2 linked regions of the Drosophila melanogaster genome follow. The protein of the gene in region 1 purifies or fractionates together with the protein of each later gene. This does not show direct contact. Each region holds a gene or a part of one and is shown in the gene's direction. Other genes may lie near its edges.

What was found.
Region 2: the proteins of Esp (region 1) and CG5447 purify together in Drosophila melanogaster (affinity purification with mass spectrometry, with the first as the bait; one large-scale study listed by BioGRID). This does not show direct contact.

The regions. Positions count from the first base shown.
Region 1 is NT_033777.3:24,829,716-24,846,587, forward strand, and holds the start of Esp (epidermal stripes and patches), read left to right. Parts: upstream 1-12,219; 5' UTR 12,220-12,755; intron 12,756-16,872. Other genes in the region: Kaz (katazuke), read right to left, coding at 1-139; CG43273 (uncharacterized protein), read left to right, coding at 724-1,137; sosie, read left to right, coding at 7,358-7,502, 8,336-8,482, 9,598-9,774, 9,897-9,988; CG33658 (uncharacterized protein), read right to left, coding at 10,794-10,949, 11,001-11,168, 11,227-11,448.
Region 2 is NT_033777.3:26,446,187-26,462,919, forward strand, and holds CG5447 (uncharacterized protein), read left to right. Parts: upstream 1-6,347; 5' UTR 6,348-6,471; intron 6,472-6,667; 5' UTR 6,668-6,674; coding exon 6,675-6,836; intron 6,837-6,902; coding exon 6,903-7,055; intron 7,056-7,382; coding exon 7,383-7,523; coding exon of another isoform or gene 7,524-7,562; 3' UTR 7,563-7,722; intron 7,723-7,793; 3' UTR 7,794-8,399; downstream 8,400-16,733. Other genes in the region: tx (taxi), read left to right, coding at 1,354-2,508; Hex-t1 (hexokinase testis 1), read left to right, coding at 2,968-4,365; Hex-t2 (hexokinase testis 2), read left to right, coding at 4,497-5,105, 5,194-6,045; CG43117 (uncharacterized protein), read left to right, coding at 8,627-8,854; Pdf (Pigment-dispersing factor), read right to left, coding at 9,569-9,877; CG14237 (uncharacterized protein), read left to right, coding at 10,691-11,056; CG14238 (uncharacterized protein), read left to right, coding at 12,167-12,360, 12,892-13,437, 13,501-13,652, 13,709-13,907, 13,960-14,028, 14,090-14,293, 14,354-14,561.

The DNA.
Region 1 (16,872 bases):
CCTTTTCCACCTGACGCGATACATTGATCACCTGGTCCACCTCCCTGTCGATGATCTTCTGTGCCGAACGGAAGCGCTTGTTCAGCATCTCGTATGGCACTTTTAGGGTGGCGTGCTCCAACGCCTTGATCTCGGACATTTTTGCGTTTCGGTTGCGATGCAATTTGGTTTTATCCTCTTTTTAGAGACGCAATTGCGTTTTCTTTTCCTTCTTTGAATTGCTTTGTTTTGCTTCTGTGGGCTAAGAGTTGCCAGACTGTCAGCAGTCAGCTTAATGAGCAAAAGGTGCTGTTCAGTTAACTATTTTCTAACGCTAATTATATGATTACTAATAGATGTATATGAATATGATATATAAACAAAAGTGCGTATATTAAAATCTTATTGATGGTGTCCTTCTAGTGCCGGGATGCATAGCAACCGATTTCATAATGTTTTAGAAGTTCTATAATATTTAAATAAATTTAGCTATACTTCTGTGTGTTTTCCCGTTAAACTTCTAGGCAGCTCTAGCAAAGTGTACAGCGCTGTTGCCGCACTGTTAACTAATAACAGCTGATTGAAGCCCAGTAAACATAAACAAATGTTTTTCTAAACATTTTTCTAACGAATTAAAGATAATAAATATACATAATCTCCTTGGGATTACATAAAGACTAACTTGGCAAAGTAAGTAATTGAAACTATTACCTTACCTATATGGCAAATGAAAACTAATTTTAGATGGTTAAAGCAACTACCAGAGGTGCGACTTCCAAAGCAACGAAAGCTGGATCAAAGGGAGCAACGAAGGGAACCAAGGATAACTCCAAGCGATATCGTGACAAAATCAAAAAGGATCCGATTAAGTATCAGGAATACCGAGCCAGAGAAACCGAGCGAAGTAGGATTTATCGCAGCAAACTGAAGGAAGTGGTTAAAAAGAACAAAAAAGTTTTAAAAACAAAGCGAGAAACCGACCGACTTAGACAGCAAAGATATCGGGAGAAAAAGAAGGAGGAGCTCGCCAATCAACGATCATTGGAGGAAATGCTGAAGAAGCTGGAAAAGTCACTCCCAGCCAAGATGTCCCGAAAGATTGAAGTGATCAAGCTATTGTATAGCAAATACGTTGAGCCTGAAGTCAAGGAATCCTAAATTCCTTTGATTGTGGTAAATTCTGAAATCTGGAAGAGCTGTCTTTAGACAAATATAAATATCTACAAGATTAGGTTAAGTATACATTTTTTTAATTATTAAATGGTATTGCCACATATCTAAAGGGATTGTTTAATGTCCCAATGCAAAAAGTACTTTTTGAATAAATCTGAATAATAAAAAGTATTTTAAAGCAAATAATTTGTAAAGATACTATAGTTCAATTCACGAGGCAGTTACTTTTATGGTATGATATTAATAATTCATTTCGTTTCATTTCATGAAAAAGTGATCTGCAAAATTCTCACAACTCTTTATGGATGATTCATTTTGACCATACACTAGCCGGCTCACTCTAATTTCTTGCAATTAGCATTACGACTAGTTGGAGTTCGAGAGTTGACCTAATGTGCTCCGCCATGTAATTAATACGTCTGCTGGAGGGAAAAGTAATCACGAGTCCATGCAAAATTGCATAGAATTAACCTCCTTTTATGGTACATTGACTTTCGTTCACGTTCAAGTGGGCCCCGATAATTAGTCATAGATTAGGTGTAGCCGCCCAGGTGTACGTGCGAAAATTGAAAATCCATGAAAACCTGACCCATGTCCGCAGGCCAAATGCTGGGACTTTGGTAAGTAATTTTTCATTCCCGGGAACGGAAGTTACTCATTTCGGGTAAATTTGGGACACGTGCCGTGCAAAAACGCGAAAACAAACAAATAAACAAACATTTTGTTGGAACATATGTCCAGGATGTGAGGTGTAACTAGTTGGATTACAATAGTTCGACATGAAAGTGTTGGATTTTGTCAGCATTTGAAATTGAGAAAATTAACGTCCAAATACTTTGAAATATATGTTTATTACATTTGATTTAACTAACATATTTATTGTGAAGGATCTTTTTGGACTATACATTTCTACCTGGCTGCAGGAACCTTATCAAGATCATCCTAAGACTTCCCTTTCCCAAACGGAGCATAACCAATATTTAAAACCCATTGCATCCGTCCTTCACAAGCAGTGATTATTCCCAAAAGGTCAGGCGCTTACATCGAGATTTCCCTAATGACAAACAATTGAAAATTGCATGTCTGAGAAGTCCTGGGTTCCTGGGTTCTGAAAAATTGCATTTTAATAATACAACCGGCGGGAAGGCGATTAAATTCAGGCACTTCTTCAATTTGAATTCCAATTACAGAACGTCACTCAGGCCGACTGACTTATACACTACCTGATCCACTTGACAAGTTCACTGCTCCTGGGTGACACAAAAACTTATTAGAATAACTTAGTGAGCTGCATTTGCATTGCCATGGTTTTTGCAGGTGTCCAGTTGGTGTCGAGCAAGGACTCCATGCCCGTGGAGAACCCGCCTGGGGAAAGGGTGGGTCAGTTCGGATGGTGCTAGCTGCTAACCTAACCAATTGGAGCTCGGTGGTAAAGCCGAGAGAGAGCCGAGCCGTTTGGTGATGTCATGGATTGCGTGCAGCGGAGCCGTCATCAATGGTCCTTCTCTTCGGGACCTGCTACTTGGGCAATTTAGTTGTAGATGTTTTCGGCCCTTTTGGGCTACCATAAGAAATGGTCGTAACCCATAATCAGTGCGGCTTAATCGTGTTCCACCGCCGGGGCAGCCTACGGCACTCCATCCCAGAAGTGGAGGGCACCTCCTGCTCCTGCCCCTTTCCTTCGCTGCCGTTTCCTTCCTCACTGACCACATTGCTTCGCTGGCCTGCATTGATTTTTTTCGCGCAGAAGTAGGTACTCCATTCCGGCGTTTTTCGGGTTTTTATGGTCACCTCTAGAACTTTCACTTTTTGATGTGCGTAAATTTGCATATTTGTCGGACGCCAGGAAGGGTGTGTGCACTGACCACTCCACTTCATCTGACCCGATCCCTTTCCTCAGTTCTTTTGGGTGAGTAATGAATAGCGTCCGATGATGATGACGCCTTGGATAATGAGTTTTTGGCTTCGCCTTTAGATAGGTCACTGGAAACGTCATGTATTCATCGAAATTAAATGGGTAGACATTAAATTTACCAATTAATATTGTTGTGATCCTCCAATTGTATGGCCCTTTCGGTAGAGTTTCTGGTTAGGTTTCCCAGTTAATAGCCTCATAAAAGATATTTTACGATCCTTTAGTTCATATGCATTTAGAATGCTTTTGTCTGAAGCGGCGACCATTTTTGCAGTTATTGAATGAAATGCGGCTAAAAAATAATTGGATTGTGTTAGCGGTATGACTTTTTATTGTTTTTCTGATTGCCTTACGCTTATATAATTTTAACAATTTCTTATGTAGGCCAAACAGACCAACATTACTAGTTGAATATGGTATTAGAATGTATAAAATTCTATGACTTTAATGTAGATCGTGTACAACTGTTTACCATCCAAACGACACTAAATTCCTCGACATTTCTCAAAATGTTGCTATAATTATAATTCCTTTTGGGGATTAAGAACCTTATGACGTCCTAACCTGACCACGCATGAGTTATTAAAATAAGTTCGTGAGCACCAACATTTCGTAGGTATTTTTATGTTTTCACTAGCCTGGCGTCGCCTTTAGTCCTTTTAGCCAACATGACATGCGAATTGGCCAAGACGAAAGACCCCCAAAAGTGTCGCCCCATTGCTAAAATCAAGGTGTGCATTAACAAATGAACTTGAAATAATCGTTATACGACTGGCCACCCATATATTTAGCATGCATTTAGCTGCATTCAGCTAGCTGGCAATGTGGCAATGTGGCAATGTGTCGAGTGATAAATTGGGAAAGTCATGGAAAGGTTATTTGGTCAAGACTTGGCCAACAGACAAGGCTAAAACAAGTAACAGCGGCTATCGAAGAGCTCGCCTTGCGGCGCATGCAACATTCGGGGGCAGGAGCTGGCAGTCCTTTAAGGACTAAGCCATGTGGTGTGTGCATGTCCTGGAACGCACGAAAACAAACTTGCATGCAGTGAGTGAGGTAAGTGAGTGTGTGTGTGTAGCCGCAATTAGACGTGGCCATAATGTGGAATTAAGTCCCTTAAATTGGCATTTTTTCGAGGGCCTAATGCTCCGCACTCTGAGTTATAATCAGCAGTAATATGATGACCTCTGGGCATGAGTGTACAGCTCGATGAGATTTCGTGAGAAAATTATATATCGCTGGTAGAAATTCTACAGTCGCACTAATTAATCATCAGTTAAGAGCAAAAACATGACGCCCAAATTGTTGAAAGCGAATTAGTTCTTTAATTACGGTGGTCTTTCGCATTTTCCTTGGAGAGGGGAGGGGGAAAACCCACTGGCGGCGCCTACGATTCGCTGCAGTTTCTGATTTGGCGAAAAGATTTCGTGAGTTTTCCATATAATTTTCCTGCTTGTTTTCCGTTTCTCTGCTGTGCCCGGCAACATTTATCAATAATGTCAAGAAATAAATATCCGAAATAAATTTCAGACTCTGCCGCATGGCGAATTGAATGGACTGGACTGGCTGAATAATAATTAAAGGAACTTATTTTTACATGTAAATATAAATATTTTCCATTCCGAATGACGCGGTGCGGCGGGATTTGCGTAAATGGAGAAAGTACTATGGAATAAATCATTGTCAAGTCGGCAAATCTAGAAAAACAATTACGAAATCCAATATAATTAGTGCCTTTTAACTTATTTAAATAATTTTAAGTACATCCAATTCTTTAAAATGACCCACGTGTCTTATAAATCTCTTCAATATCGCTCAAAATAATTTTTTTACCTTTTACAATTTTTGAAGAAAATCATAAAAATTTTCTAATATAAGTTAAGCAAACAGAGATATTAGGATATCTGAAATATATTTTCCAAAATTGGCTTAATGCTTTCCACGGTCCTTGAACCCGACCAGATTCGTGTCCCATTTAGTTATATCCACCGATTTTCGTGAATATATTTTCTGGACTTCCTTTCCGTTCGCTGTGCGTGTGCGATATAAATTCGCATTTAGTTGGAGAAAATTGTTTATGCTGTCGCAGCGATTAAAGCAATCGTTTATAAGGCGATCGAGAAGGCAGATAAGGAGCACCAGGACCCATATAGCCTGACATTTTCCACAATCGGAGTCGGAAGAGGGTCGAAAGTACATGAAGTGCAAAGGAATTTGTGTTTGGCAAATTGGGCGAGTTCTTCATGTCCCAACTGACCTCAAAGTGTTCCTCTTCGAATGGGTGGGTGTAAATTATTGGCTCAGTTTGAAAAGTGGAGCTTCGTATATTTAGACGATTGAAGCAGACATGGCCAAAAGTTGGGCATCCGTTTCTGCCTGTTCGATATCCGCCTAAATGGTGCCTTGCCAAATTGGGCTAAAGGGGCGTGGCCAGTCACCTTTCTTTTTTGGACAGCTTAGCTGCATTCTGCAGCTGAAAGTTAAAAAAGTTAAAAGTTGAAAGCAACAAGCAAGCCACTCTCATCTGGGCAATTTAGCAAATGTAATTAGGGCCATGCAGCGCCCAAAAGTAAAAAAAGGGGGAAAAAATAATCATAAACAACGGCAGGAGAAATTAGGGAGCGAGCAAAGAATAATGGCCAAAATAACTATTTGCCTTTGACTAACCAGTTTCTGTTGTTGTTTCGCCTGGTGCGTGCTAATGTTACACTTTATTGTTGTTGTGGCTGTTGCTCAACTCCGTGGGCCCCAAAAAGTAGGCTATGCAATGGTCGTATGCCTCTAATGCCTTCGTCATTATTATAGTTCCCACACACACACCCACTGCCACACACACACACCCAAGACGAGGACGAGGAGAAAAGGACGAGGTCGCCACCGCCAGCGGCTACAATAAAAACAGGTGCACGAAGGTGAGGCAGCTACAAAAATCCATCTTCGTTAACAAAACTCGCTCACGAAATACACAAAAGCAGCGAAACAGTTACAAGTGCGTCGCAGCTCACTTTCCATACACCATATAGCATATACCATATAGCATACGGCCCAAAACTAATCCCATACTGCCTGCGAAAGTTTCGAAATCTGCCCGGAGATTCCATGCTATCTAGCTTCTTGTCAGCGAAACATTGGTTAGGTGGAATACCCTTTGCCCACTTGGGGGATCTCTTAATTATGCATGCGGGTGTCTGTCCTTCTGGAATCCGATTTTATGGAATGTCCCGGAATGCGTGAATTCATTTCTACTCAGCCGCAATTGGTTGGACGTATGTATACTTGGTTGCCTACATCTAAAATTAATGTTTTATCATTTTGTGGGAAGCTCATTGCTGCCAATTTTTGTGTGCGTCAGCAGAATCGTTTCCCATAACGCATAAAAACCTGTATTGTTTAACTTGATATTCAGTTGTATATATTTTACCATATATATTATGAGTTATTTTTTTAAGAATGAAATATGAAGCTGTTGTTTTTAACAAACCAGAACTTCACTTCCAATTGTAGAGTATAGACTTCTGTTAAAATTACACATGTAACATAAGTACATAACTATATGGTATCTCAACTTCCAATTTACTAAAATAAATACAAGTATATTATGTATTGTTATTATACAAAGTATTAAAGAAGATTTGCTGAGTGGGAACTTAAGTATGATATAAGGGTATCTGGAAGACGACTATCATTCGCCGCCAATGTGGCAAAGGGGTTCTATGCCTGGCTGAGCAGGTGAGCGGACTGCGGGGGCGGTGGGTGGCTAGCTGGCGAGGAGCACTCAGATGGGTAGCAGATGGTGGCAGGTGGGAGGTGGAAGGTGGCGCCGGTGTGCGCGAGCGCCAAGTAGCCACCAGCAGCGACATCGCAGCAACTTAAGGTCCGTGTGCGCCGCGAATTCTTCACTTGCATTTCGAGCGCGCAGGCGACTGGTTGGAGCTACCCGTCCGAAGACCCCAAGTGGAAGTTGCGACTATAGCGAGTGCCCCAAAGTATTGGAGATTTTTTGGAGTGACGCCTCTCGTGCGGTTTTGTTTTGCTTCGGACTTTCTGGCGGAGCGGAAACGATTTCGGTGTGAAAATTTGCATAAAATTGTGCCCGCGAAACCGACATAGAAACGAAAAAAGCGTTAAGTAAACCAATTTAAAGCCTTTGGGCCGTTTTTCAAGCTCGCAAAGTGCGTGTGCAACCCGTTGCGGTCCTGTGGAATTTATATAAGACCCGAAAAAGGACTTCTTTCCGACTTCTTCAAGTCCTGGTCTCGACTCAAAACTCGATTAGTTACCGATTCCAAAATGCAGCCCCTGAAGCGCTTCACACAATGCGGCAGTCTGACCATGCTCTTCGGCATCTTCATCATCCTCTTCGGGGTCAGCTCCACGGCTCTGACCACTTTTGGCAAGACCAACAATCAGCCGCCTCCCACGCACGTCCCAATTGGTAAGAGAACCCCCGGGGTTGGTAACGAAAAGGCCCATCAAAGTCGCTGGCAAGGTCAAGAGGAGTTTCTTGTCAAGATTGGGCGAGGGATTAAAAGTGGTTCGAGTTTAAAAGTAATCGTGCAGTAATTTTGCTATAACTCGTACTCCAGCATTAGCCGATAAGTGAATATGACTACTATTACTATAACAATATTCATATAAGATTATTCTTTAAGAAAAATACCAAACAAAGAGATACATTAACTTCTGTTTTAAAAAACTGATTTTGAGTTAGAAGTTAACTATTTTAATGCACTTAACTTGACTCTCATTATAATGTGATATATACGTTGTCTTAGACCTTCCCGATAAAGCCCCACATCACTTAAGTTCGATTAACCGCTAATTAAGACACCTGGTCGTTAGCCAAACAAATAGCCAACCATCCAGTTTGTCTGATCCAATCATTTGTCATTCGATTGACTTGGTAGTCGCTCATAAATAAATGGAATAATAATTATGGCACAGAGCCAGCACAGATTGAACGACACGACACAGAACACAGAACATTGCTAACACAAATCGAATCGAGAATTGATCAAACAAGTCACTCAAGTGCAATGACAACCCACGCTCCACGAATCCCTGACATTAGGAGCGGGGGCGGTAATATCCCTGTGATTGGAGTTGGTAAACCGAAACGGATAGAGTAGATATAGATAGGCGGACAAGCGGTGATTTGTGTTGGCTCAAGTTGGTACCCAAATAATCACACAATTAGTGGGCAATTAGCTAGGCAAACTGGCTAGTTAAGTGTCCTTTTTTAACTTGGATTCCTATCATTAATTGCAGTTAAAGGACGAGAGTGCAGTGCCCACGATGATTGCACGGCGATAGATCGCACCAGCTGCGTCAAGGATCCCAATGACTACAAGCTGCGTTGCCTATGCGGCGACGACTCGCCTCCTTCGGCTGGCAGCTGTCCAGATGTCCTGAAAGGTAATGTATCACCTATATAGAAAAGTACTTACCCATATTCCCCAAGGATATAAATATACAAGTTGTAATCTAGAGAAACCACTGACACTTAAACAGCATTCCTAAAAATAAATTTTTCGCGGCTGATATGCTTTAGTTACTAGTCAGTTAGTTACTATTTATTTATGTTAAAAAAATTAAAAAATCATTGATGTTAAATATTAATCATAATGTTCTGTATCTCCGCTCCTTTGACCGCCCGCCTTTGCAGAATCCTTTAGCTCGTTTCCCGAAATAGAACAGCCAACAAAAAGTCAGCTAATTGCTAAGACATGCACATTACATTTATTATTTAAGAGGCCGCTGCTTTCTTGGAGGCCTCCTCCGTGATGAGCCAGTGCCTCAAGTGGCATGTGAGGTGATGCGTCCAAGGCGCCACCTAAATGAGAATTAAACAAAGAAGCATCCTTCCAGAATGGCCACCCCCAAAGCCCACTTTCACCTTTCTTCGCTATTTGCCTGCTTATTTATTTAGTTTTCCGTGCGCGATTCACACTTGCCTTCTCGGCATCCTTGGGTCATGTGCCCGCCATTGTTGGCCCTACAGTCCCTTGGTTCTTTGGTCCTTTGGTCTTGGGTCCTCTAGTTTCCCAGTTCTCCAGCCCTCCTCCAGCTCCACTCCAGTTCTTGGCGGGGCCAGAGGTGGACCGCTTTATGGCGGCGCAATGTCGATGTCGGATTTATGTTAGGATGTCGTGACTCCTCCGATGGGGCAACTCAAACGAGGCCCCAAACGAGAGGCAAATGGTAATGGGAATCGCCGCAGTGCCAATTTGTGACATGCACAGCCCAGAAGAAATGTTATACGCGATTTTTGCATGCACGTTTCCCCAGTTTTTGGCATTGGGAGTTGTTCTCCGTGTTGGAGATCTACTTTCTGGCGGGGATACATTGTAATACACCAGAGTATAGAATTTCCAGACTATTATAGGTCTGCATAATAGCGTTATTATAATAAAATGGCTGCTAAATGATACCGGTGTATTGAGTCGGTTTAAATTTAGTTATAAGCATGGAGTATAGCTAATTCCACTGGCGGTATGCTAATATCTTAATAATATTTGCGCATTTTGCAGGCCTGCGTCACAAGTGCAACAGCAACAACGACTGCGAGGATGGAATGGTGTGCCAGTACGAGAACAGCAACCGCACCATCGGAGTGGCCAAGTTCATGTCCAGCAAGACCAAGCTGTGTCTCTGCGACAACGACAACGGATATGTGGAGGACATCCTGCACGACATCTGCAGTGGAGGTGAGAGGTTTCTCATCCAATACATTCCATAACTATTATAACTATTGTCATAGTATTACAAATATAGTACACACAAAAATAGGATGTATCATGGTTCCTAATCCATCTTCTTTGCCTTTCAGCTAATCTTCAGGGCCTGGTCAGCTTCTTGGTCTCGATCTGCTCACTTCTGGCGCCCTTTTTGGTATCCGCCCACATGCGAAAGCATTTCTAGAAGGCGATCGTCGAAAGCGGAACCGGAAGACGTAGTTTGGCGTTTATCTACCCCAGTGATCCATCAAATGTGCCTCAGTGAAACCAACAGAAACAAAAGATCATCCTACCCCTACCACTAACCCCTCACATATAAAAAAATACGAAAAGTAAATCTTGAAAAGCGAAAAAAATAAGAGAAAATACGTGGAAATGAAATTAAGAAAGTTAGATACTCGTCGCCATTAGCCTAAAAGTCGTTCTATTGTATAAGTTTCATATGTACCACCGTCAAGTTTATTCGCTTCTCACGAAAAGTTGCGTTATATACAATATACATAATTATATTATCTGATAAACGTTTTCCATAGATCCCCAATCGAACTTAGTCCGTACTCCCTACACTAGACAGACCGAAGTAACTTTAGATCAAATGTTAGGCACCATTTTATTGTAATTTTATATGAGTGTACGTGTGTGTCCAGGAATAATCACTAAAAATCGAGAGAAATTATCTAGTGATAGGCAACTTTTCAGCAGCACTGTGAATTCAGATCGCTTACATCGCAATTACAAATGTGAAACATTTTTAATTTTTGTATGTATTCAATATAAATAGCTTTACGAGCTCACAGCCCATAATCGAATGGAATAATAATAATAATAATAATAATAAAATATGGGAGACGATAAAAGTTAATAATATTTTCATGTCCAAGTTGCAGGTCCAGATAAGAATTTCACCCATTAAAACCGTTTTCTTCGTAGCTGTTATCTATACTATTTAATAAAAACCTTTAAAAACCCAAACGAATAGTACTTTTCCATCAATAATGACAGAAATATATCTTGGTTACCACACGGTACTTTTCATTGGCAATCCAATAGGTCTGAAACATGTAGTTTCCTGTGGGAAAGGGCAGAGTTTTTGGTAGTCGGGAATTAATAGTCTCAGAGGTAAGTTTCTCCATTATAATGTCGTGCTAAAAAACGTGGGAATGATTAGTTGGAATAGGGAACACGATCTTTCTTACGTTGTACGGACAGGAATGATTCAAGTTGCTGATATTCCTTATAAAATCGTAAAAGTATTTGGCGACTACATTGGACTTTGTGTTCTTCATGAATTGGCAACCGTCAATAGTGATGTTGTATAGGAAGGGCTTATACCCATTGATCTGCTGGTGCAATCCAAAATTCACCTGAAATATAATAATTTTACTCAATAGATTGCTAAACAACTAAACTTGCTTAACTAACCTTTAGGCTGTTCAGTAATTTTAATACCTTAATCCGGGTGGAGAGGTATTGATAAGTTCGATTAACTGATTTTAGAAAACAGTATTCGATATCGGCCACGTCCTTAGCCATGGATGTGCACTTGAAGTTCGTGAACTCGATATGAGAATAAATCTGTGTTTTAGTGAAAGCTATTGTATATTGCCTATTAATTTGTTTATAACCTCTGACCTGGTTTATCATGATGAAATGCAATAGAAGCACGAAGCAAAAGTATTTTTCTAAGCACATTTCAATTCATTCGGATATCAAGTGAGACTGAAGCTACATTTTCATTATATCGGACTCATTGAAATCAGGAAAAAAATCTGAAATTAATATTTGGTAATGATTGCTTTTACCTTAATTTCTTTAATTGCTAGTTATATGCAGATAAGCCAGACGAAAATTGGATCCAGTGAACTGGAACGTACGCACTCCTAAGGCAAGGCATGTATTAGACAATAAACATACCCCTTATGATTATGAATAAGGAAATATTTACATAGTTGCAATATTTATGAAATCGATTTCAGGCCAGATAAGCTGTGATACTGACTTACTACGGATATGAAATCTACTCGTATTTTAAATTCCAAGGACAATTAGCTTCCCCCCCCAATAGAAATTCCCATTTCTAACTACACTTGCGTCTCCGTCCAAACGATCGGTTATCCAACCCAAATCGATTAAATGCACGGCATTGATTATAAATAGTTCGGTGTAGATTTAATGCAGCAGCACAGTTTTCAATATGTTAACAAGCTGGATATTTTGTAATGCCAACGCCTTTCGCTGGCCCCCATTCGCTGATTACTTTCAAATTTCTCGCGGAGAATCGGAGAATCGGGCAATCGGGGATTTGGTGAAAGAGCGCAGAGAAATGGGGGCTGTAGTGGAAGTGAAAAGCTCGGCGCGGGCACACAAAGCTCCACTCTCGGATCACAAAAACAAACAGCGCCACGCTCCCAAGCACAATTACACGATTGGTCTCCGAGAGGTGACAACTTCGAGGGCTTTTCGGCGATCCAGAGATCTGAACGGGCAGTTAGTTAGCCGTGTTTCCCTAACCGATTCGGCTGTGCCATCCGCAAGATCGCAATTTTCGTCGTGGAAACTTCAAGCCTCGAAACGAATTCGAAGTTCGCGTCTGTGCAAACAAATTATAAACGCACCATTTATGCTCGGACTTTATGGGTGCATTTCGGCAGTGATTTGCATGTGAATTCGGCATATGCCATAAAAAAAAGACTCCGAAAGTAGTGGCATATTCATATATGCAAACTTATAACTATTTAGAACCCACTGACAATGAAGAACTGAAGGAGGGACACAACTGAGTTTTTGAGGTGTGCGACGCGCGCCAAAGTCAAAGCCAACGAAATCACATTTCCGGTGGCCACACATCGTTTCAGCCAAATTCAATAGAGAATAGTGGAAAAAAACGCCAGCCAGTGGAATTTCAGGCGTAATTGGGCTATTTACGCCCCCCCTGCAAACCGTCGAAATAGGTAAGCCCATCGAAATATTTCCCCTCTGACATCAGAAAGTGACACTAAGTTATGGGTGGCCCTGACATATAGATCAAGGTATATATATAGTATTTGGTACTGAAAAGAGTGAGATTTCCCATTGCGAAAGTTTCGCATCGGATTTTGGCATTAGCACCTCTTTCAAACCAAATCCATTGACGCAGTCTAAACGGTCGATTAACATTTATCACTAAACGATTACTAATTTGTTTATGAGTCTCTCAAAACCAACGACACATGCTAATTGCCATTATGGGATCCCGAAAAGAGTTGCTAATTTTATGATATCCTCAATGAAGTGTCAATTAAATGAATCACTGAAAATATTTTCGTCATCTACGCATCTCGAAGTGCCTGAGTTATTAAATCAAAAGTAATAGTTCTGCTACCTAAATGGTGCATTCCAGAGGCTGCAACGTGGTAATTGCAAAAAGAACACGCGAGAATGGCAGTTAAAATTAATTTATAGATTACGTGACTTAAATGCGAAAACGTGCTCAAGCGGAACTTTGGTTAACTTGAAAAGTCTAAATACATTTTAATGTCAATTAACTATTTCGGCATTACAAAAAAGTGGCCTATTCACGATGTTGACTCCAAAAATCTCATATAATTGAATGCAATGATCCAGTATAAATACATTCAGAAATTATATTAAGGTATCTTCACACTTAAATTCCACGAATTGCTGCTCAAACTAGTTTATTTCGGTTTTAATTACCCATCACATGAGCTCGACTTGCATATCTTAAGCAAATATGCTATAGTAGATTAAGTGATGCTTAAATAAACAATATTTGGATGGATAGATAAGAGTTCGCTTCTGGTTTTCTTTGCTGCGTAATCGGTGGGGGAAACGCGTTTTGCATAAAAATTGCCAACTTATCAAATACTGCGCTCCATCAAATATGAACAATCGAGTCATAAATATTCAAAACAAACAAAAGCCGGTAGCTGTTCTCCCCCTAAAAATCCATTAAACCTGAAAACGAATGGTTAGTCTAACTTTGATCGTCGTCTAATATAGATTATGAAACTCGTTTTGTGGGAACATAAATTAAATTTGGCTTGCCCTGCGATTAATCATTCTTATAATCAAATAATAATCAACTAACAAGGAAATTGCATTGTGATTTTGGCACGTTGTTTCAATTACTTCTGCTGAATTTGTTTGCTTAAATTTTATAGAGTCGCGCAGGGCATCTTCATAAAAACAGAGTCTAAAGTCAACAAACTGCAAATTGAATTCTGGGTATATAAACAGCATATATTCGGACAGATTCAATTCGCGTGCCTTTGCGATTGACTTTAACAATTAAGTCTTCCACGAAAAAAGAAAAGAAGCTACAAAGAAAATATTGAATAACAAGTACAACCTATTTTTAGATTTTAAACAAAGAAAGGTCTCAAAAAGAATTAACATCTAACTACAAATTGGTGTACTTTAAATCACTCTGTTTGTCTTCGAACTTTAATTTTGTGTGTTAAGCATTAAGTAATCTGTCCTCTCACGTTCTCTATTTTAAAATAATATTTATAGCCATCTAATAAATTAGTCAGCTTAATAAGCCCTTATAGTTTTCTTTTGTAACTACAAGTCGTAAATCCTTTTAGTAATTCCCCAGCGAGATCGTAAGTTATCTAAGCCAAAGCCATTGGGTCTGCATGCGGGACAACGTGTTGTATACGTGATTTCCGTGCAACTATCTGCCAGCCTGCGAAATCCAAGTGTGTAAAGCCCCCTTATCCGCACTATATCGTGTTAAATACAGCTTTCGGATATATTTAAGCCACATATATAGACAAAAACAGCCCGAATCGAAATGGTAAACAAACCAAACGCATTTCATTGAAATGGGCGACAGTTTGTGGCTCGGATTCGATTCAATGTGATTGTGCTGCGATCGACCACGCCCCCCGCTGTTCGTTACGCCCTTTTGTGGGAATTTGGCTGTCATGCGAAATGTATTTCGCAATTGGCCCTGTAATTTCAGTTGAGCGAAAAAAAAAACAAGCCAGTGAAAAAAGGGAACAGCAAAAACGAATTCAACAAATGTAATTGAACAATTAATCGAACATTTGTACTTCCTGTTCGGTTGGGCTTATTAACTCAATTATGGAGTGACAAAAATAAATGTATAAAATCCGAAATCTAATGCGGCTTCAAAATTCCATAAAATATTTTGCCACATTTTCGAAACCCAAGGGTCACACACCTGCTGTCGTGCAAAGTTCGAGCTCGTGTCAATGGGGCAAAATGTGTGTAATACTTAAGTGCGAATATGCAAACTTGAATTAAATACACTTTGAGGAAGCTTCAATTTGATGGCATTTAGCACAAATTTTGCAATGCGTCAGCCTCAGTCTTCACACCCACATTTCGCTCACTTTCTAATTGTGCGCTTAAATAGTTAAAAATAAACCAAAACTCAAGCCCAAACCAAAACAAATAAGACAAAGGGAAACGCCCTCGGATGTAAAATACTTTCGGTGTGAGAAGCGCCAGCTTGTTTGACATCATCCAAAATTAGCAGACGACTTCGGCAGCTGGAGAATCCCCCCAAGATCACCGTCTGCCATCATCGTTGAGGTCCCCGTATAAAACCAGTTACCGGCATCTTGACGTGTACACTCATTAAAAATTATGCTATTTTGCCAGCTGACTGATACGCGTAGTATTCAAGTCATTTGACTGCGATTAGGAAACGAAATGCACAACGGAGAAGGCAGAACGAAAAATACCCAAACATTGAGTGGTTTCAAAACGTGGAAGGCAGTTAGAGCTCTTAAAGATCGACTACGGGAATACCTCATAGAAAGTTTGAGTACTTCGTTTTTAGGTAAATCACCCTTTCATTTTATAGTTATCTCTTGGTAACCGCAAACCTTAAGTATTTTTATATTTCATTATAACATATTATTAGATATAAGATGTCATATAAGCTTTTTAAATAGTTGGTATGAAATATAGCACCGTCGCTTGCTTTGCCAATTTTGATCTTGGCCGGGCTATAAAGACAGTGATATTTATGGGCTTTTAACACTAACAGCACGTTTCAATTAATTTAAATAATTCCATTTGTCACAGCATCAGCTGTCTAGGAAGTTTTTTGCGATATTCGCTTGAATTTCGATGTTCATCTTGAACTTCAACATAACTTCAATCAGCATAAATATAGAAAGTTTGCGATCGGCAACTAAGGTTACAATCAATGCATTTCAAAATAATTTGTTCAAAGCGTTAAGACACCATTGATTTCCATAGAAACACAATACGACCCCAAGCTGTGCATTTAAATATTTATTTACCCATGACATTTTTTGGTCTCACCTTTTGTTTGGTTAGCAAAGGGTCTATACGTTTATAAAGTGTCAAGTTCATTTGGAAATATTCAGAATACTTGCACTACTATTTGTGGAATGAGCTGGGGCTCCGATTTTGTTACTTCCTTTAATCCAAACAAATATAGCATTTTATAATGATGTCTGGTACGGAGATGATGATATTAATACAAGTCAGCGCGCCGAAGGCAGATCAATTAGCCTTGTCGCGAACTCATTGATAAGGCAATATCTCATTAAGCGTACCTAAAAATATGTTAATGTTAATGGCATTTAAGAGATGCTCGATAACGCGGAGGATAAAACCCAAAAACAGGCAAAACTACTCCATTTGGTAGCAGCATGGGGTGCAGGCATCCGAATGCAAGATCAAAATGCAACATTTGGGCAGTGTCTCTTCGTCTGCAGTCAGTCGTGTTTGTGGCCAAATCTGGTTTTTCTGAGATCTTAGCACCTGACTGCCAGTGGTAACCCCCGGCGACTAGAAACCTCCGAAAGACAACAAAAGATTATAATGACAAAAAAAAAAAAAAAAACAGAAGCATCTACCTGCTGCTGCAATGAATGGAAATTTTCTCCCTAAAAAAAGTCCCGGGTATTAATACACTCGGTTCGGGTCCAAAAATCAGGGTAACTTTCCACTCATTTGTTCCAAAATATCACAGATACCCGATACATAAATACACAACGAACAACGGGCTCACGTGTTGAGCGAATGCTCCCTAAAATGCCGAGCCAGCCAAATAATTACGGA
Region 2 (16,733 bases), 1.6 Mb from region 1:
AACCGCCGAACAGTCACCGCAAAATGTATCCGCCCCGCATTCAACTCTCGATAGAGGGGAAAATATTTCATATAGCTGACCTACCGCACCACACAAAAGAAAATAATAAACATTTCATTTACCGCACAAAACTTTCCCCATTTGAAATGAAGTAGACAGCGCCCTTGGCAATGACGGGAATTTAAAACTCACCATTTTCCTTTCACGAAAAATATTTTATAACAATCAACATTTCTGGGAAATTTTATCTGGCTAGTGAACACAATCTACTCATGTTTCATAAACAATCTTGTGTGACAAATAGGAAAACACCTAAAATCTGAGGTTCTCTTAAAATAGACCACTCTTAAGCAAATTATTAAACTGGTTATGAAAATTCCTAAAACTGTTGCGATAAAGCATTTAATTACAGAAATAAAAAACTGTTCATCAAGGCAAATAAAATTTAAATTAGTCGCTAGTTTATGAACAATTCCATTCATGCGGCATTTACGAAACATAATTTATTTTTCTTTCTCATCCGTATACTTGTTTGTATATTTTTAAAGCAGCCAATTTAACGAGGTCTTAAAATATTTTTATGAACTTTCGTGTTAAAAGTTTTATATAGGCTAATTAAAGTTTTATTGGAATTTTGTATGTATTTTCAAAGGCTATAACAAAAACTAACTTATTTAACAGCTTAGGAAATCTTTTGAAATTTATGGATAAGTACTTTTAGTTCTTAACAAGATTAATGACAATTTTTTTAAATATTTGTAGCCTACTCATTAAAACAAATGCACTTGTTTGCGTTTACATTACTCATACGATGTGAAATACGTAAAACTAATATGGGCTTACCAGAATTCAACAACTTGAATAAACCATTTTTAGGAGTTGAGAAGCCAGCTCATAGAGTTTTTTGCTGGCAAATATGACTCAGAGGCCGATCGAGAAGATACTGGGAATTTTGTAGATTACGCAACGCAATGAGCAATGAGAAATTTCATTTGGCAGACCAATTTGTTCTTGCCCCCGCTGCTAAATTGTATTTATTAGTTTTTTGGTTTGATGCGTTTCGTTTCGTTTCGTCTCGGTTTTTCGGCTTCAGTGGGTTTTATGACGGAAGCACTACTCAAGAATCGACTTCAGTTCATTGAAGCCAATTCGAGAGCCGTTTACGGAAGTTTTTGGCGGGGTGGGTCCGAAAATAACCGATTCGCTTCATTGCACAAGCCCCATATGCTCTCCGATGTCTTTCGAAAAATAGTACAAAATTGTTAATTGCCCCGGGATGGGATGGGATGGGTTCGAAATATATATAACCTAGAAGACCCTCGACTAAAGTCTGCCTCTGCACTCCACTTTCAGATGAAGTCCAATACGTACGAACTGCACAACTACGCCGATCTGAATGACATGGCCAGAGCGACGGACTCCAAGGATTCGCGCAAAAGGAAGACGGCCAGTGCTCGGGGCGAGAAGTATTCCCTGCGACAGAAGCGACAAAAGAGGGGCTCCAACGAGGATGGGGAGTCAGCCAACCTGGCTGACTTTCAACTAGAATTAGATCCCATAGCGGAGCCGGCTAGTAAATCGAGGAAAAATGCACCCACCAAGTCCAAGACGAAAGCACCGCCACTGAGTAAATACCGTCGGAAAACAGCGAATGCCAGGGAGCGAACCAGAATGCGTGAGATCAACACGGCCTTTGAGACACTGAGGCATTGTGTTCCCGAAGCGATCAAGGGCGAGGATGCGGCCAATACCAACGAGAAGCTGACCAAAATCACCACCCTGAGACTGGCCATGAAGTACATCACCATGCTGACCGACTCGATTCGAGATCCCAGCTATGAAAGCGAATTTATAGGGGAGTGTCTGGAGGAGAGTGCCAATCGGGAGGCGAGAGTGGACTTGGAAGCGAACGAGGAAGCCGAGGTGGAGCTACCCGTTCCAGTTGCCAAGAAGCCAGCCAAGACAAAGGGCAGTGGTAAGAAGAGTTCCGCCGCGAGCAAAAGACAGAGCCAAAAGCAGGCCAAGATAGTGCCCCAGATACCACCGATAAGTTCCGGTGAGTCGTGCTACGCCACCTCTTCGATTGGATCGCCTGCCTCCTCCGCCTACGCATCGCTCTCCTCGTCATCGAACAGCCACAGCAGCAGTAGCAGTCCGGGACTGGAGCTGGACAGTCTGGTGGGATTGAACGGAATCAGCGCCCTGGACTCTCTGCTTCTGGATACCTCCGATGGGGATTCCCTCTCCTGTCTAAGTCCCGGCTATGGAAGTCTACTCACTGGCAGCGGGGAATCCCTGTTGCCCGGTTGCCGAGGTGATCTGCCCATGTCGGGTCTGGAGAAGTCGGATGTGGAGCTCAGTCTGCGATTACTGGACCAGAGTTCCAAGGATTCCTTCGACTTTGCCAGCGATCAGCAGCCGTCGGCCTGTATTAGTTCGTTCTCCGCTCTGGATGGGTATCCATTCGACCTGCTGCACAGCGATTTTCCGGATATGTTTCTCACGTGACGCGTATTTCTTAGCAACCCTAACTACTCTCCTTTTAAGCCTAACCCTCGTCTTAAGTTAGAGTGCGAGTTTTAACCCGACTTTCACTATTAGCCATTACATGCGATGCGCCATTGAGGCGGAATTCATTGTGTCATAGCAAGCAGCTGACAGGATAAGTATATTCACATCCTGCGAAGGCAAAAGCTGCTCACCGCCACATCCACATGATAGCTCAACTCAACTAGTGATTTAAGCATTTCTTTGTGACGCATTTCTCGTTATCCTGTAAATAAAGCACCCAGTGTTGATTCAAACAATCTATTCTGTGATGGGATTTTGGATCCTTCAACTTTCAGAGATATGAAACAGAGTAGACTCTTAGATTATTAGTTTTAAATGGAGCGATTCTGAAATTGATATTAGGTAGCCGCAATATAAATCATACCTTATATTTGAGATCAATAGACACACATCGAAATGGCAAACACTTTTAATCCTGAGGAGGACTTTCCGGAAGTCTACAAGGTCTGCAAGTTGTTCAATCCGAGCATAGACGATCTTGAGAAGATTAAAAACGCAATGGATCGTGAGATTACGATGGGTCTGAGTCGCGATCATCACGATCGTTCGACCGTTCCGTGCCACTTGAGCTATGTACAGGATTTGCCAACGGGCAGGGAGCGTGGTCAGTTCTTGGCCCTGGAGATGATGCCCACTAACTGCAGGATAATGCTGGTGAAGTTCAGCAGCGAGAGAGATATCTACACCAGTTCCAAGTGCGTGATTATGCCGCATACTGTGGCAGCGGGTCGAGGAACCGAGGTCTTCACCTTTCTGGCCACCAGCATAGCAAATTTTGTGAAGGAGAAAAAGGTGGACAAGGACAATCTGCCGCTGGGCATAGCCTTTGCCTTTACCCTAAAGAAGTTGGCTTTGGATGTGGGTATCCTTGTGTCGTGGACCAAGGAGTTTGGAGCCCAAGGCGCCATCGGCAAGGATGTGGTCCAACTGCTGCGCGATGCTCTGGCCAAGTTTCCCGAAATCTCCGTCGATGTCATGGGTATCATCAATGTCGGAGCCGGTTCGCTGCTGGCTCTGTGCTGGGCCCAACCGGATACCCGAATTGGCTTGATCATGGGCAGTATTGCCAATAGCTGTTATGTGGAAAGGGTCGAAAGGTGCGAAACGTACGAGGGTGATGAGTACAGAAAGCTGATGATCATTAACTCGGATTGGGCCCATTTCGGGGATACTGGGCAGTTGGATTTCATACGTAACGAATACGATCGCCAGCTGGACACCGAGTCCATAAATCCGGGCACTCGGATCTATGAGAAGTTTAGTGGAGCTCTTTGCATGGGAGAATTGGTTCGCATTATAGTGCTTCGCCTGATGAAATCGGGCGCCATCTTTGCCGAGGACAGGCGTGATTACATAGGGATCCAGTGGAAGTTGGACATGGTGTCGCTGATCGAAATCGTCTCGGATCCGCCGGGTGTCTATACGAAGGCACAGGAGGTGATGGACAAGTTTCGCATACGTCACTGCAAGGAACGGGATCTGGCTGCCTTGAAATACATCTGCGACACGGTCACAAATCGTGCTGCCATGCTGGTGGCCAGTGGAGTTTCCTGCCTCATTGACCGCATGCGCTTGCCACAGATCTCGATCGCCGTGGATGGCGGCATCTACCGCCTTCATCCGACCTTTTCCACCGTTCTTAATAAGTACACCCGTTTGCTAGCCGATCCCAATTACAACTTCGAGTTTGTCATCACCCAGGACAGCTGCGGAGTGGGAGCGGCCATAATGGCGGGAATGGCACATGCCAACAAGTACAAAACGGACGCGAAATTGTTTACTATGGACTACTAGATATGCATAAATAAAATTTTTATTATGTCTGCTTAAATACAATGACAACATATACGTTTGAATTTTCCATGTTGTTAAATTTTCCATGTTATTCAACCAGAACGTCCAAAGCAAGAATTGAAATTTACCTCATGAGAAAGTCAACTAGACTTTTAACTCATTCTCTATTCGGCCCTGTATTTAAAATTTTGTTTCATAACAAAACAGTTTGTGGAGGCTGTAATAGGAAAATGCCGAGCCTGGTGAACACGGAAATTGAAGCCGCGGTCAAGGGCTTCCTGATCGACCAGGAGAAGATGACCGAGGTGGTGGAGCGCATGACCAAGGAGATAAAGATGGGCCTGGCCAAGGACACGCATGCACGAGCGGTGATCAAGTGCTTCGTCAGCCATGTGCAAGATCTGCCCACTGGCAAGGAGCGGGGAAAGTATTTGGCCCTGGATCTGGGTGGCTCTAATTTCAGGGTGCTTCTGGTGAACCTGATTAGCAACTCGGACGTGGAAACCATGTCGAAGGGCTATAATTTTCCTCAAACTCTGATGTCCGGATCGGGAAAGGCGCTTTTCGACTTCCTTGCCGAATGCCTGTCGGAGTTTTGTCACTCCCATGGCCTGGAGAATGAATCACTGGCTCTGGGCTTCACCTTCTCGTTTCCGCTCCAGCAGCAGGGACTCTCCAAGGGTATCCTTGTGGCCTGGACCAAAGGATTCAGCTGCGAAGGCGTGGTGGGCAAGAATGTGGTGAGTTTCATGGCGTTCAAACTATTTACGTGTGGTTCTATTAACATTTATATTTAACAAATGAATTTCTTTTAATATGCATTCCTAGGTGAGTCTTCTCCAGGAGGCAATCGATCGAAGGGGCGATCTAAAGATCAATACCGTCGCCATTCTCAACGATACGGTGGGCACTCTGATGTCCTGCGCCTTCTATCATCCCAACTGCCGGATTGGATTGATCGTGGGAACCGGCTCCAATGCGTGCTATGTGGAGAAAACAGTAAATGCCGAATGCTTCGAAGGATACCAGACCAGTCCCAAGCCATCAATGATAATCAACTGCGAGTGGGGCGCCTTTGGGGACAATGGTGTTCTGGAGTTCGTTCGAACTTCCTACGACAAGGCAGTCGACAAGGTAACACCCAATCCCGGCAAGCAGACGTTCGAAAAGTGCATATCGGGCATGTATATGGGTGAACTTGTACGTTTGGTCATCACCGATATGATTGCCAAGGGTTTTATGTTCCACGGCATCATTTCCGAGAAGATCCAGGAGCGATGGAGCTTCAAAACCGCCTATATTTCCGATGTTGAAAGTGATGCACCTGGCGAGTATCGCAATTGCAATAAGGTCCTTAGCGAATTGGGCATATTGGGCTGCCAGGAACCCGACAAAGAGGCCCTGCGATACATCTGCGAGGCGGTGTCCTCCAGGTCTGCCAAGCTATGTGCCTGCGGCCTGGTCACCATTATCAACAAGATGAACATCAACGAGGTGGCCATCGGCATAGACGGTAGCGTGTATCGCTTCCATCCCAAGTACCACGACATGCTCCAGTACCACATGAAGAAGCTCCTCAAGCCGGGCGTCAAGTTTGAGCTGGTTGTTTCGGAGGACGGATCCGGAAGAGGAGCGGCTCTCGTGGCGGCCACCGCAGTCCAGGCCAAAAGCAAGCTCTAAATTCGAAGTTGATATTCTTCAAATGCATGGGAAACGTTACGGACAATGATATATGAGCACAAAATTATGGAAGAAGAAATAAAGATTTAAGGATATAATGGGAACTTTTAATATTATCCTTTCAAACTTAAAATTGTGTCCAGAAATCCGATTTGAATTATGGCGCCAAAGATATAATAATTTTCTGCCTTAGTGGCAACACTGCACATCCATAGTATTTTTTAGTACATGCAGTATTTTTAGAATATTTATGGAACGATAGGGATGGGGTAACACTATTTTGGTATAAAAGCCAACTCGCCATCTGGTAACACTTGGAGTTTGCAAACATTTATCTCTCGACCAATTTAAGGAATTTGAGGCAATTAGGGCATTCCTGTGAGCTTTTCCAGGCCAACTGCGATTACTTCAAGCCAAGACAAACAGGTGGGTAACCAAGCAGGCCGTGCCCCACCGACCAGACCAGCAAAACACCCCCATTTCGGGCGGTGCTGGAAAAAGCAAGGCCAGCTGTCCATTTGGGATTTGGACACTCCACTCTGAGCATCAAGATGATTGCCCTTAACCAAATGCATCGGGCGCTGCAGAGCGAGGCCATTAATGCCATTATCCGCCTTTTCAGCGACAACATGTCCCAAGGCGGTGGCACTACTCCAGCGGGCGGTAATCCCACAGCGCTCCAGGCGACCGGAGGGGGCGTGGTCTTCAGCAAGGTCTTCATCCAGCGCGATTACAGCGAGGGCACCTCCGTCAAGTTCCATACACGGCTGCCCGCTGAGCTGGAGGGCATGGTGACTATATAATACTCTATATTATCTGTGGGATTATCATCCGAACTCATATCGATTCTCGTGCAGATTGAAAGACACGTCTTCGAGGCCACCATCAATAGGCTAAACGAGTTCTACGCCGAGGCGGAGGAGGGATCCTGCGGCACCTATTGCGAGGGCTGCATTGGCTGCATCACGGCCTACTTGATCTATATGTGCTCCGAAACGCACTATGAAAAGGTGCGTCATTTGGGTTTGGATTACACACATGTGGGTCAATGCAATAGAGTCTAGTTCCACTAGGGAACTATTAATAGGGATTAGAGTCAACAATTTCACAAATGTCGATATGCGATCGTATAAGTTATCAAAGTTATTCTCGTTAATGTCCTTGTACTCAAGGTTTTCATATCTGTTTAAGGTATAAAGGTCAGAGAACTTGATAAATCAAGTAGTAGTATTACTTGCTAATTAGTGATCGTGCTATCTGTTATACGAGTTTAAAATAAGGCAGTGGCACTTCCAGCTCTATTGCCTGCACATACTAATGCTCTTTCGCCCCCACAGACCCTTCGCAAGATATCCAAATTTGTGGCTTCCCAAAATGAACGCATTTACAACACCAAGGGACTGCAGCTGATCGATCCCACTTATCGGGGACTTCGCGTCATAGAGATTACAATATTCGATCGTCCGGGGCGAACGTGACTTCCGCTTTCCCATTCAGCCAACGAGTTTTTCATGTGAGATCGAGCAGCTACAGTCGCATCAACAGGCATGTGAAGGAGAAGAGTCCGTTTCAGCAATTATCAAGCAAAAGTCAGCGCCATCAGAGTGCGTTTCCAAAAATATAAATCAATAAAAAGCTGTGGAAGCAGCTAAAGCTTTATAACCTATAACCATATGTGTGAGTATCTCAGATATTCCGCACTCAATTGCAAACTGAACTAACTAACATTTACTTTCGCATCCTTTCAGCTTGGCAAAAGCAGTGGCCAGAGCGTTTTCGGGGCATGCGACTTAGTCACGGGTGTGCTGGTAGATGTGCCTCCGCTGCAGCCACATACTGTATGCTAGATTAGCCGTTAATGATTAGCCAAGGCAGTGTACGGCCAGTTAGTTAGTATTTATGCAATAGCAGGCATAGTCATGTAAGTGAAAAGCTACCGAAACTGCATTTTGAGCCGAAGCAAGAAGCATCAACATATACACACATTCGCATATGTTACAATTGTTTTATTAATCGGACCGAAAGGCCAGCGAGAATTGATTGTTTTGTAATTTGAAAATGAATAGAATTGTATACATCATGTTTGTAGTAGTTGCCAACAATTCGATTGTCTAATGTTGTAATTTCAATATGGCATTAACATTTGCATAAATACACACACACATAGTTCAAGCTTAATCAGACATAATGCATACGCATAACTTTTTCTATACAATACTTACCGATTTCAAACAGCGCCAAATGAACTTACACATAAATCGAATCGAGAATCGTTCGATATTTAATATAAATCAGCAACATTGATTAACATAGTTATATATCTTATAAGAAAAATATATATATTGCCGTCATTTAAACGCGCCTACAACTGTTTTCCTGCGGCGGGTAAACATCGAATTGGAAGCAAACAAGTTAAGCAAAATGTGGCGTGCAAAATTTGTTTTTGCTGATTTTCAATTGTATTTCGCTATTTACTTATCATCTGCGGATATTTGTTATTGTCTGGCGTAGAAAACTTTCGTATATATAAAGGCCTCTAAAGCCTCGTCTTATACATTCACGATTCTTGCAAAGCCGCACAATGAAGCTAAGCACTTATCTATTGGCGCTCGTCCTATTCGCCGGATTCTGCCTGCTGCAGCCTTCCTCAGCCCAGACCAATTCCACCACATCCACCAACACCACAACCACGGAGGCAACCACAACCACCACTGCCAAGGCCACAACCGTTCATAGGAAACATTTTACGATCCGTAATCTCCACTATAAGACAGTGCGCAGGATCCATGTTAACAAGAAATCTGGTTAATAAGATCTTTAGCTTACCAAACAATGGCGAATAAAAAATACCTAAAGAAAACACATTTCTAATAATGGGCACAACAATTTATACTTCTACATACAGATCTTTTTGTCTTTCTGTTTATAAGTGTGTTTTTTATGAACATACTTTAGTTCTCATTTAGTTTACTTTCTACGCATTTGTTTGCCAAGTTCATGGCCAAGTTCCTTAGGTTTTGACTGCTTAGATATAGCATAATAAATGAAGTCAATAAACGAAATGGGGCTGCTATTCTAAGCTAGAAACATCTATTTATTCCAATCGTAGCATTGAACAAAATCTACTTTGAGAACACCTTTGGCTTTCATTGGTTCGCCCTTTACGGGGATAACCAATATCTTTAACTAGCTTTAGTATCTGTGATTAAGAATAAAAATCCTGACTAGTTGTTGTACCAGATTTCAAGTCGAAACAATCCAGAAAACGTTTATTTCAGCAGTAAGCCTAATAATATACAACATTTCTACAATAGGCTACTTGTATATTTTTCTATTTAGGTTTAAAGCAACAAAAGTTATACGGTCTTTTCTCTCTATTAGATGACTACACCGGCTTTTATCTGCGGATTTTCATTTTCCTTCGACGCACCAAAAAATCATACTATAACATCAAATAATAAATTCTTGTCCAGGTTCCATCTTTCAGTGGTGGGTCGTCCTAATCCTTCAGCATTTTCCGTTCTTACTTGCCCGCATCGTTCATGTTCTTGGGCAGACTCAACAAGGAGTTGATTAGCTCCGAGTTGCGCTTCCTGATGGGCACGGATGGGCCCAAGGAGTTCTCGAGGATCAGCGGATAGCGACAGAGAGTGGCCACTTGGCCGGGACTGAACTGTCCCACGCCCACGTTGTTGAACCAGTCGAGGAGATCCCGATTGTACTCCTTGCGCACATAGCGCTCCTCATCCGGCATGGCCATGGCGCCGCAGTATCCCCACTGGCAGCAAATGGCCAGAAGCACAAGGGCGACAAGGTACGTGTAGCGAGCCATTAGTCCGAGGAGCTGGAAGGATGGCCAGGAGCAGGAACTGAGCACGGAACACCTGCAGCAGGAGACTTGCGAATGAACGTCGGTTGGCGCATCCTCGACTTATATAGCAACCTGGACTGGATAACCCACTGCGGGAGACCGCCCGACCACGCAACCCAAGAGCGTCAGTATCGGTGTCATCCGCAGGACCAATACATGTCATCCGCAGGCAGCGGCGGTCCTTTAGCCCAGGCAAATACGGAGTCGAGTTGGAGCCACGCAAATATTTGGTTATGCAGTGTTTTATGTGCCAACATGCAGGCACCAAATCCCATTCAAGTCCAGCGATATTTGTACGGGAAGGCAGCTCACTGGCGACTCCATGTGGCACTCAAAAAAAAGGAGGATACCCAATTTAGGCACTTCTTTAAACCAACTTATTTATTGGATTTAAATAATATACGATTGCAGACAAAATTGCTGACCTTCCATTAAAACGAACCTTATTTGTGAATAATATTTTGCTCAATTCGTTTTCTCTCTGTGTAATTGTGTGATTAATTTTAGAACGAAGCTCGTAAAAATACCAATCTTAAATATATATAAAACTTAATAGCTAGCTCGGCAGTTGGGCCGTTTTGCGAAATTCCAGCTTGTTCCTTTGTTTGATCACCAAACTGTGTAAATATGGCCAAAAAATTTCGCGCGGACGTAATTGGCGAGAGCAAAATGCAAATATTTGCTGAGAAATTCCGCCAATTGTCTTGGTCACATATAAAACTCCCAGCCTCCGAAGTGGTAGTTCATCCGAGCAACGGCATCACCGAGCACACCATGAAGACAGGACAACTGGCACTCCGAATCCTAGCGATAAGCCTATGCATTTGGGCAACCAACGCCTCATCGCCAACCACCACGGAGACTACGACGACCACGACGGACAGTGACACCACCACCACGACGACAGCAGCCACCACGACCACCACCACCGCGTCCTCCTCCTCCTCCTCCTCCTCCTCGAAGGTCCATCGCAAGCGGTTCAGGATCAAGAACCTCAAGTACTCGATTAAGCGCAGGGTGCGCGTCTACCGTGACACCAGTGCCAGTTCCACTTCCAGGAACAGGACCAGGAATCGCTCCGGAAGGCGGGTCAGTGTGCGCAGCCTCAATAGGCTGCTGCGACGCCGCAATCAGGGCTAGGTTCCAAAATCCACATCAAGTCATATCCATACATGCAATAAAAGCAATTTTCCAAAAAAAAAAAACATCTGAGTATTTAAAACCATAAGGATAATAGAAAGGTCAGTACTAGAACGTGTGAAAAGCGAAGGATTCCCCAATGGTTGTTGCACATGTCGTATGCGTAATATATGCCAAATTACTTACCTTATTTGAAATTTTCTTTGTTCCCATCAACAGGTTGCCCCTTCTAGCATGGCTGTGCCCAGTCACACAACGCACATCATCCTTTATTTATGCCTGTTCAATGACTTCACGTGCGGCAAAAACATTGACCCAACTCCGCCCCCCAACCAATGGGCAAACATCGGATATATCTCGACGGGGTAGGTTTACGATGACTATAACTTTCCATGCAGCCACATTACCCAGCAGTTTGATGGCCAAGGCTCGGCGTCGTTCACTCCGACGATTTGTTTGCACTGCATTTGTGGCCAGACCCAAAATCCGGTGGGTGGAACGCGGACTCCGCGTTTATCGTCCACCGTTTGCCGTCTTAAAAGTCAGCTGAAGCATTTAATGGTCGTGGTGTGACTTGGAGGCACACATAAGTGAAACACGCATGGGTTCGATTTCGGTTGGGAAGACATTTCCAGGAGCGTCTTGGTCACATCAGAGTATAGAAAGTAAATGAAACTTAATTTCCCATATATTAAAATGGAAAAAAAAGGTTTTAAAATATATTAAGAAAGTTATTATTAGCTAGAATTTATTTAAGATCCATATTTTTTACTCTCTCCTTACTATGAAGAATCTTTACTTTTCGGTCTGCAGTTCGTCCCTGGACAAGCCGAAGATGATTCGTCCTGAACGCACACACAGGACATCGGGACGGGGGTCCGTGGCCATTCACCAATTACGCGCCATTCGCGGCTGTGTCCTTAATTTCTTAAAAAGCGTTTAAACATCTAATGAAAGCATTTGGGACCCCGCGATTTCTGCTGTCAGTTGCGTTTACCTTTTCGCCGTGTGCGGTTCGCTTCGTCGGTTCGGGTCGATTTGGTGGTATTCCTCGGTCCTGATTATCCGAGCTGCAGGAAGCGAGCACGAGAGGATTATGTCATTGCAGCCATGGCCAAGATAATCTCGACGATCAAGGCCATCCTCACGAGGATCATCTTCAGTGCGCACAGCCTGCTGGCCATTTGGCAGGTGGTGGCTTTAAAGAGTGATATCATATACTGGGCACTATGTGGACCACTGCTGTTGCTGCTGCTCGAGGGCATCTTCACCATCATGATCAAGAAGACGCAGGAGTGGCGCTGGTAAGGATGAAACCCACGGATCCTGGCTACCCCAGGCATCTGATTAAAACTCCCAACTCGAAATGTAAACAACAGTCAGTCGATGCTGACGTCATGCCGCGGGGTTTTGATTTTCAATTAAAAGTGAAATCATGTGTTTAATGTGTGCCTAACCTGGCCACCCACTTTCATAGAAACCACCAACACTGCGGCCGCACCCCCACACTCAAAAAAAAAGTAGCCACGATTTCCAAACAACACAATGTAGTTTACATAGGATTTTTGGATAAAAATATGCATATGAATTGAATCTAGAAATAGGAAATCCTATGAATTTTGTATCTTAAAGCCAATTTGTATTATCATTTCGGGGTGTACTTTTTTTCAAGTGTAAGCTGTCCACCTCACACTTTGTACTAGTAAAAACTTTAATGGAATTTCGTGGGGGATGGAGTCTTTTTGACTCTTGTTTACCTTTCGTCGCATCACTCAGACTTGTTGTTTGTTTTGGCCGTTCGGCTGTGCCACCTCATTTGTGTCCTTTGTCCGCAGGTTCTGCCCCTCGGTTTTCCTCTACCTGAGCAGCATTGTGCCGGCGATATGGCTGCTGGAGCTGGACAAGGTAGCACGTCGGGTGGGCAACATGACATCGACCAACTCGACGGTCTACAGTCCGAGCAACTACAGCATTCCCGTGGGCAACACCACCATCTTCATCACCAGCACCAACAGCAGTGGCGTGCCACCGGTGGCCACTCTGCTGGGTCAGGCCGGGGTCACCCTCTCGGTGACCCCGGACACTTGGACAACCCTCATCGAGCAGTTCCTCATGCTCATCCTGATCGTTGGTCGCTGGCTGCTGCCCAAGGGCGATCTAACCAGGGATCAGCTCAGCCAGTTGCTCCTGGTCTACATTGGCACGGCGGCGGATATTATTGAATTTTTCGATTCCTACAAGGATGACTCGATAGCAAAGATTGGATTCCTGGTCTTCCTTACACTGGGCATATGGTCCTGGAGCCTCATGCAGTTCACCATCGTGCTGTCCGCCACTCGAGGACGACGACCACGAGGCAGTGGATCGCATCACAAGGAGGAGTGCGTATATTTAATCATTTTATTATTAAAATGTAAATGATCATGGGAATCTTTATTCTGCAGACATACAGACTGTTGCCAGAACTGTTGCTGTGGCATTGATGTTTGGGGCATCGTACTCAATGTGATCCTGCAGGATGCGCCCTTCCTCACCTTTCGCCTGCTGATTATCTTCCAGTACAAAATCATTAACTACATGAACGTCTTCTTTACATGTACGTATTATAAATATTTTTATGCGTAATTTTATTACTTACATATATGTTATTAGGCAAAAACTCGTTGGTGATCATCCTGCAGCTTTATCGGCTATATGTGGTCAACGCCGAGTTCTGGAAAAATCGGCGTGAAAGTCGAATGGCCAAGTCACGTCAGTTTCAATCTCGTCGAAAAGTGCAGGATGCTGATCAGAACAGCATTTACATGATATCCAACGAAAGGGGTGGTGATGTCAAAAAGAAGATCAAAAGGTAGGTGTGGATGTAATTTAGATCCTTAATGAACTGCATCAACTATTTATAGGGCCAAGGACAAGGACTATGCGGAGCAGGAGGCGGTATACAGTAAAAAGAAGAAGGACAAGAAGGACAAGTGGGTCTTGAGCTCAACTGTGACATTAAAAAGAGAATTTAGATTAACCCACTGATTCCAGGAAGAAGCGCAAACGCAAGGATACTGGCTACTCCACGGCCAGCTCGCAGAATCTGTACTCCACGAAGGCGAGTGGCACGGACAAGGACACTCGCCGCAAGGACAAGAAGGGCAAGAAGTCCAAGCGCACCTGCAGCAGTTCACCCAGTGACTGCGACTTGGCCAAAAAGCAGAAGCGCAAGAACGCGGATAAAAACGATAAGAAGTAGGTAATATCTCGGGACTTGGCTGGTTATCCTTTGACTTATGATCCGATTTCCCGCAGAAAATCCCGCAAAATTGAGGCAGTCGTGGAGGAGTCGAGCAGCTCGAGCAGCAGCAGCTCCGATTCCAGCAACTCCACTCTGCCCAGCTACGAGGTCATCGACGAGAAGAAGGCCAGGCGCAGGAAGCACCGCGGAAGTAGTAGCGACACCAGTTCCGGGGACAGCAGCTCCTCCAGCTCCTCGTCCTCCAGCTCGGACTCGTCGTGAATGAGGCACTTTTTTGGCACTAACGCCAGACGTTAGGGAATCGATTTTTTTGGCAGTCACTTGCCAGCATTCAAGTGGCTGCGCCGCTGCTCCGGGAGCTCAGATTTGTAAGACCCCAAGGGGCAGGTCTATAATTTGATTGCAAACACACCGAGCGTTAATCATGAAAATACCACATGCTTACGCTTTTACATTAAAATGTTGTGAGATACAAAAGAAACTGCAGTGAGTTTTAAATACTTTTGAAACATTTATCTCTTCGCATTTCTGCATTATCTCTTCTGCATTTTGCACAACATTTTTATTACAAATTTGATGTATAATTTAATAGTGCTGAAACTCTGTGCTCCTTTGAATATTTTATATTAATTAACATGACATCTGCACGAAAATATTTTAAGGCTGTTTGTAGGCTTCCAAATAAGCTAGCATTTGCTATTTTCTTGATTAGTGCTCGATATATTTTGATATATTTGTATAAGCTACACTATGGCATATTTGAATGGATAATAAATACGCGGGCTCCACAGCGATAAGTTGGCAGCTCCGTTGGCATTAAAATGGAGCTCTCTTGATTAAATTTTCAACGTGGGGAAATTCTCTTAATGCTTTCTCTTTGCCGCATGAAAAGCTTAGCAACGCGAACTGCTGCTAAACTTTTGTTGACACACAGTTAGCTGTGATATTTGCCGTGAGTGTGTGTATGTGTGTGTGGGGTTTGGGGGGTGGGAGGGCTCTAGTTGGAGATTTCTCGAGAGCGTGTATTTTTGTAATAGCACAATAGTTGCTGCCGAGCGTCCAAACGCTGCGGACGCGATTTTCGCTTCGCTCCTCTCGGATTCGCAACGCTTTTCGAAAAAACCTCGCGTAACGCCAGAAGCTTTGTTGTTGTCGAGTGTGTAAGTTCAAGAGTGTGTATGCGAATGAGTGTGTGTGCGAGTGAGCGTGCTTTGTCGGATCCATCGCATATATACTTGATATATAGACGCACGATAAATGCCTATTAAGAAATGTTCTTCGAAAAGAACTCTTGAATATATCTGCAAGTGCCGTCTCTCAGTGCCCATCAATAAATCACGGCAGCTACATAGCATATACCATATACCCCTCAAAAAAAAAAAAACAACAACAAAGGTTCCCTTTGGCAGACTTTATTAACTATTAACCGGACAAACAAAAAACAGTTGTCAAGCCGATTAAAATTTAAATGGCTATAATGTGGCGCAGGTGTGAATTTTCTGTCTTTTTTTTTTGCTCTGTGAATAATTCAATTAATACTTGACAAACCTTTGGCAAATGGACTCATCACAGTTACAGTGCGAATTGCCCCGACAAATTGGCTCACCCCACACACAAATTATATATGGTATATATAGACAAATATATATATGTATGTATATATACATACAAGGGAGTGCACTGGATAATCTGGAACTCGAAACACGTTCGCGGCCTTAAAGTTCACAAATTATGGCTCCTTTTCCGATTCTTTTCGTTTTCGTTTTCATTTTCGTTTCATTACCTCTTCAAGCGCATTTTTATCTGGGCACGCGTAGTGAAGGTTAAGGCTTCCGCGGCTTAAAGTTACAACTCCCACGCCCCCTCAGCACGCCTAGCCCCCCTTGGGCACCACCCCCCGCCCCCCACACGTGTTGTTTTGTTTTCGGTCGTTGTTGTTTTGCGTTTAAGACACCTTAGTCGTCTATGTATGTATGAAGAAATACAAAACCACAGCGGGCCTCAGCAGCTTTTGTCCGAGAATAATCCCGCTCTTTGGGGGAGTCTTTGAGACAATGATGGGGCTCTCTGCTCTCATTTGCCGGTTTTCCACTGAGAGACCGAGTGTGAGCAACCGCGGGAAAAGCAGCGAAGCGAGAAGCTCTCTTACAGAGAGAAAAACAAGGAAAACTCGAACTCATTTGCATACGCGGGTTTTTTCCTTTTAAACAATTTGTTTATTTAACGATTTAGCTATGTACAGACAGGTTAGCTAAAATGAATCTTTTGAACCCACGTTTTATTAGGGAGTATATGATCCAAAAATCTATAAAGCATAATAAAAAATACAAATTTTTTATTACATTACAGGGCGCTATTTCTGTTGGGAAATTTCTTAAAGTAATAAATAATAAGATCAACGATTTGCTTCATTTGCTCGCTTATGTTTATACA